Linked DNA regions of Kluyveromyces lactis. The protein of the gene in region 1 interacts with the protein of each later gene in a pairwise test. Links are inferred from orthologs where the notes say so. Each region holds a gene or a part of one and is shown in the gene's direction. Other genes may lie near its edges.

Region 1 (3,617 bases):
CGACGTAAACATCATCGACTGTTTGGTGGAAGGACAAAGTTGGCTTGATAGCAGCGACATCCAAGGTCCAGGATTCCAAAGCTGATTCGGCATCCATGATGATTTGTCTTGAAGCTTCGTAACCATCGTAAGCGGCTCTAGCTTCTCCAGGAGTCACTGGAGAATCGTCCAATAGTTCTAGTAAGGCCTTACCGTAACCAGCGATTAATGCGAATTTCTCAGCTAATTCTCTCACAGAGTCGAATTGATAATTGAAAGCAGCCTTTAATCTTTCTCTGGTAATGTTAGACAATTGGGCTTCAGCAACCAACGATTCGGCTTCAGCACGAACCAATTCTTGCTCCAAAACTGGGATCTTGGTGGATTGAGGGTCCTTGTACTTCAAGTGAGCAATCTCATCAGTAATCTTTTGCTTACGGTCTCTTGATGGTTGCACAGAAGCTTCAATGTTTCTGATAGATTTCAAAGTAATTCTGTATTGGTCATACTTGTCAATGAATTGGTCTTGCAATTCAGCCAGTTCATAGATAAGAACGCCTAGCTTGTCAGTCACGTCAGACACGTCATCGTCATTTTCAGAACCCCATAGAGACAATTGTTTAGCAGCAACACGACGTTCACTAGCAACAACTTCTAAAGCTCTCAAGTAACCCTTTTCGGTCTTAATTAAAGAGGATAGCTTTCTAGATAACAATGGGCCGAACTGACCAGCAGTATTCTTTCTGATACTGGAGGCAAAAGAACCCTTACCAAAAAACTTAGACTTGGTAGTAGATTGTGGTGGAGCTGGAGTTTGGAGCTCTGAAGCTGTAGGAGCCTTCTTATTTCTCAAAGAGTAAGTTCTGTGCATTTTTGGAGACTAGTATCGGTATTTAATTTAACTTCTTGATATCGAATATTTTCTGTTTCCCCTATTTCTTAATCTAAAAGCAGCACTAGAAGAGTAAATTGGCCCAAAAAAAATTTCGATTCAACTAGATTAAACTATGTATCGAAGTTTACTTGATATACCTGCGTAAGACCCCTAAAATTAATCCGTCAGAAAACAAGACAGGTAGAAAGATAATCAATTACTTTATATAGAGGAAAGTTATATGTAGATAGCAAAAAAGGTTCTGTCCCAGGCCAAGAAACTCTGATTATTTTTTTACTGCCTATTGCCCTTTTCAGTTATTCCCAAATAAAAAAAAAAAATGCATAGAAAGAGAAAGAGAAACAGAACATGACCCACACTTACTTTCTCTAGGGACATTGACATGGCATGAGCCACGCAATTTTTCTCTTCTTTGCAAATTGCGGGCACGGTTCTCTATGTTGGTTTCTTCAGAAACTTTTGTTCGACTCTTCTTTTCGGCTTATCATTCGAGACTGGAAAGAATCGTATGTAGGTGGATGATATTATAGTACTTCCTGCTTCCGCTTTGTCTGGTGATGGTGGTGTTGGTTTATGATATAGCCGTAGCAAAAACAGGGCCAGGAAATGACGAACTAACAGTGTATTGCCGGCCTTATGTTGGCTCTTTAGAGTCTCTTATGAAGTTTTAGGGTAATGCTGAAGTACTCGTCCGGGTAACGGTATGCAGTTGATCTAGCTTGAACTTTGGTAATCCAACTGATTCGCTTGAACTTTTAAGCTCATCTCATGATAAATACGTCATTTGATTCCAATCAAGGCGGGCTCTCTTGCATTAGAACTAGTGTTAAAGATCAAGGACCAAGGGCGTTGGTACAGGTTATGGCTGATCAGATAAATGGTGGTTTGGATGACCGTTATGATCGACAGTTGATGATCTGGGGCCATTCAGGCCAGGATTTACTTTCTCAGTCTCATGTGTGCGTTGTAGACGATAATCAGACATTGTTGATGCGAGAATGTGTCAAGAGTTTGGCTCTCATGGGTATTCATGAGATTACTGTAGTTTTTGGCTCGTCTAATGGATCAGATTTTGTGAACAAGTCAAACTCGGATATTTTAGGTTTTGATGCGTTAGAAAGTATGAATCCAGATGTTACGTTCCATATTTGGAACGAGAATGCAGTTCCAATTGATTCACAACATAAGTTATGGAACTCTTTCTCTATTGTCATATGTTTGTGCACGGCTGGTCCGTTGTTACAACGTGTCATGAAACTCTCAGCAGTTCCTCTGATAATGGCATCCACCAACGATAACTTGGGATTTGTTCGTCTTATAGGCAGTGAACCTCATTGTGTCATTGATTCTCATGGACATTTCACTTTCGATTTAAGACTCAATCGTATGTGGCCTGAACTAGCAGAATATCACGAATCATTCGATGTAAAAAATATGTCACAGGAAGAGGTATCCTCCTTGCCTTATTCCGTTCTACTGTACAATGTGGGAAAATCATTAAAGTCAAAGAATATTCCTATCAATAGAAAATCAGTGAGGGCAGAGTTCATCGAACTTCACGATTCTATACTCTCTGGACCCTTGACCAATGATTTGAACTTTGTGGAAGCAGAGAGGTCCTCATTCCTGTTATACGATCAATCAGGACCATTTCCTCACAATTTGACCAACATCTTGAATAGTTTTCATGCTGAACCTAATTCTACAATTAATCGATGGGTATACCAATTTGTACGATGCATCAGAATATTTTACGATTTGAGAGGCGATTTACCTGTGTCCGCATTCATTCCAGATATGGAATCCTCAACTAAACTATTCAACGCGCAGAAAGCAGTATATCAACGTAAAGCTGCCAAGGATAAATCAGAAATCATGCGCATTCTAGCAAAGGAGAATTATAGTTTGATACCTGAACCACTCATAGATAAAATGCTCGAGAACTTAAAACATTTGGATGCAATTAAAATGGGTAGCCTCTCATCGGCAACTAGAACTATAAGTGAAAAACCGAAGTTCAATAAGTTGCTATCGCTACAAAACGATAGACATGATACAACGTTTGTCAGCCCTGCGATGGCATCAATTCTTGGTGCAATGGTATCACAAGAATGCGTGAAATTATTGACACATCAATATGTACCGGTTGAAAACACATTGTTATATGACGGGGACTCGAATGAAACAAGCACATTTATATTATAATAGATTTATCTACGATATGTAATTGACTATAAATCATCGAAACTTCCTTGCATGGAGTTATGCTTCTTTTTCTTGTTTTGTCTTACAAGGTCTTTCCAGTCTTGCTCAACTTCATCTTCTGATTCCTCATCGCCCCGCAGAAGTTTCTCTTCAATTGCCTTCCTCTTGATGGCCATAGCTGCTCTTCTTTCAGCTTTGGCTTCTTTAGTTAGTGTCTTATCGGACCATGCCATGTTCTTCTTCTTTAGCTCACTTTTCAGTTTCTTTTTATCGCTTATTTGCTTGAGGTTTTGTAATTCTTGTAACCTCGCCTTCTCCTTTTGTTTATCTAAGTAAGCAAATGTGTCTAAATTCACTGGTGGTGATACCAACCAACCTTCCTCCGGAATTTGGTCGGCAGCATACCTGGTTATTTCGGGCATACGTGGCAGACGTAACAACCCGTAAAAGTTCGCAACGCCGATGAAATCCATGGAGTGGAATCTGAAGATCGATGATGCAGTATGCTTTGAGTAGTATTTTATAAATGCAACGTATG
Region 2 (3,244 bases), on another chromosome or scaffold:
AAATATCGAAGAGACTGTGCACCGGTTTCTGGGCAAAATACCCGGAAAAACCTTTCGTTTTGGATTTTCTTTTTTTCCGGCACCAAGTTGGAACAGAGAGGTACCCAACGAAATGGCGGAGGAAGAATCAAAGAAGGACCAAAGTTCACAAAAAGAAATACGAGAGAATGTTGCTACAGGGGAAAGGAACATTCACAGACATAGCCCGATCCGGTTTGTTCCGAGGTGCGGGTAACAACTTAGCGCAGCTAACTCTTTCTTTCTCTACGCTCGGTGTATGCTGTCAAAAAAGTGTGGCTCTTCTAGTCACGTGATTACTGTTATAACGCGCCCGCTTATGTTACCCGGATATATGTATATTTGCTATATTTGTATTTTCGCCACCGTTCAACGTTATTCCGGGTAACACAATGGGTATCTCTCTCATCGTCAAAAGATTTTCTCGTCACTTCTTCCACATTCAGACTGGAATTTAAAATAAAATCTGTATACCATCTTTTCACATACGTATCTATTAAATGATGCACTACTACTTGTTGCACGTATTATCGGAACTACTCTTTTTCAACTTTATATACTTACTGATTTATGTATGCCTTTTCTAATAATTAGTTAGTTAGTTGTCCTTTGTCCACTGGAATCTGCCGTCGATAAGCAATTCATAGTTAGAAGAGAAGTGCTCTTTCTTACCAAGCCAATCCCAGCTGTAACTCTCTAACCACCACCATGAATGCTCAAATCAGTAACCTAGTCATCATGTTGATCATGATGCAAGTATCTCGTCGTTTGGATATGGAGGATCCTTCGATCGTGTTGTACATCCGTATCGCTTATGTCGCTTCTGTTGCCATCACTTGGTCCATCTACCAATACGCTAGAGCTCAAATCGTTAAGAAGAACGATTTGGCCACTTTGAAATACGTGGCTCCAGCTAACCCATTGGGTGGTCAAACCGAGAAAAAATTGGAAGTCACTACCGTTCGTGATTACGATTTACAACAGATTGATTCTGCCATTAAATCCATCTACACTGGTTTGGCTATGATGGGTTTCATGCATTTGTACATGAAATACACCAACCCATTGTTCATGCAAACCATCTCACCAATCAAGTCCGCTTTGGAACATAACGAAGTTCAAATTCATTTGTTCGGAAAACCAGCTTCTGGTGATTTGAAGAGACCTTTCAAGACTCCATCTTTGTTCGGTGGTGCCGGTGGTGCCAGTGAACCAAAGACTGACAAGAAATCTATCGAAACTGCTGAAAAGGCTGGTAACGGTGGTGTCAAAGCTGAATAATCGGGACGCGCATCGTTGCGTTTTCCAATCATGTGTTTTCTTCATCCATCTCTCACCATTCTCTTATAAATAAACACGTATATATGTATATAAATGTACATGCGTGTATGTATACAACTATTAAGATACCTCAATAGGATGTTTTATCGTAGCTTTTGTTCAGTTTCTTTCGTGTTTAAGTGTTAAATTGTACACATAGACTTCGCACTTTATTTGAAAGAAACGTGAATATTATTCTATAAAGATCAGACCCAACCCTTAACTGTTACTGATCGAGCCGACCAGATCAATATCCTCCAAGCAAAATGGATGTCAGTGATGTAAAAATATTGATCCTTGGTGCCGGTGGTCTTGGATGTGAGATTGTCAAGACATTGGCGCTGTACGGTTTGCCAGAATTACATATTGTCGATATGGATACCATCGAATTGACCAATTTGAACCGTCAATTTCTATTCAGTACCCGTGATATTGGCAAACCAAAAGCGTCTGTAGCTGCAGAAGCTATCAATAGATTGCAAATACCTTGCAAGAATGGAGTTACAGGTTTTGTGCATGTGGTGCCTCACAATCAAGATTTGACTCAGTTCAACGATGACTTCATCTCACAATTCGATATAATCGTATCCGGACTCGATTCTATCGAGGCAAGACGTTGGATCAACTTCAAATTACACGATGTAACTGTCAAATCCAACTTCAAGACCGTAATACCTTTCATAGACGGTGCCACGGAGGGACTTATGGGTAACTGTAAGCTCATAGTGCCTGGGTTCACCTCATGTTACGAATGTTCTCTTTCCACGCTGCCGCAAAATACAGAAACTTATCCGCTCTGTACACTTGCATCCAACCCAAGAACCCTAGCACACTGCATTCAATACGCTTCCATCATTCTCTGGCCTCGAGAATTTCCTAACAGACCTCATGACTTGGAGTCTCCCGATGATCTACAGTGGTTGTACGAAAAATCATTACATAGAGCGGAGGAATTCAACATACACCATTCAACTCTAACAACAAGATACGTTCTGGGCGTACTAAAATCTATTATACCCAGCGTTACTACTACAAACTCAATCATTGCTGGTCAATGTTGCAAACAAGCTATCGACTTACTCACTGATAAAATCGATATTGAGACATGTCCAACTTTCACGATGTATAATGGAGAAGCTGGTGCAACCATGTTCTCTTACAGGCATGAAAGGGATGCTAGTTGTACCGTGTGCAGCGTGTTCGCATAGCACATGACATATAATGGTTGATTCTATATACAGTTCGCTTCACACCCTCGCCAAGCATTATATACTGTTTTTAATGATATTCCCGGCTCATAGGCAATATTCCTCTTATTATCTTGAATGAAATTCTTTAATAAGCGAAACGATGATTCAACTTCACAAGTACATACAATGAATATCGTAAAGACATACAAGAGAGGAATAGTGAGCCAAACAACATGTGGCCAGTACGACTATTACCATATTCTAGGACTCCTTTGACGCTTGCACCCCGGATACTGAACCAGGTCCCCGTTAGAGCTGCCTTGGGAGTACGCTGGCAATCATCATCACCATCATCGATATTGGATACTCCGATCAGACCAGCAAAGATTATTAATGAAGTACCGGATCTGCATTTTAGCATCACCAACAGAGCTTCCAAGAGACTGGCTGAGATATACAAGGCTTCAAAAGAGATTCTTAGGGTGACGGTTGAATCTGGTGGATGTCACGGATTTCAGTACAATTTGAAGCTGGTACCGGAATCTGACAAGAAAATCGGTAACCAGGAACAAGAAACCGATGACCTGAATGACGAAGATGATTTTGAGACTGTTAAGGATATCGTTTATGTATTACCTGATTCCATCGGCGAAGTTGTTATTGATGAGCAGTCCCTAAAGATTTTGAACGATACCACTCTCACATATAGTACCGAA

The links.
Region 2: the proteins of ULA1 (region 1) and UBA3 interact in binary tests that used the Saccharomyces cerevisiae proteins (3 or more experiments, as listed by UniProt). The link is inferred for Kluyveromyces lactis from reciprocal best matches to the Saccharomyces cerevisiae genes ULA1 and UBA3.

The regions. Positions count from the first base shown.
Region 1 is NC_006041.1:1,270,180-1,273,796, reverse strand, and holds ULA1 (Ula1p), read left to right. Parts: upstream 1-1,642; coding exon 1,643-3,079; downstream 3,080-3,617. Other genes in the region: lipid-binding protein LSP1, read right to left, coding at 1-850; ATP-dependent RNA helicase SPB4, read right to left, coding at 3,106-3,617. UniProt on the Saccharomyces cerevisiae protein: Regulatory subunit of the dimeric UBA3-ULA1 E1 enzyme.
Region 2 is NC_006038.1:830,638-833,881, reverse strand, and holds UBA3 (NEDD8-activating protein UBA3), read left to right. Parts: upstream 1-1,604; coding exon 1,605-2,546; downstream 2,547-3,244. Other genes in the region: SND3 (Snd3p), read left to right, coding at 727-1,299; ISA2 (Isa2p), read left to right, coding at 2,762-3,244. UniProt on the Saccharomyces cerevisiae protein: Catalytic subunit of the dimeric UBA3-ULA1 E1 enzyme.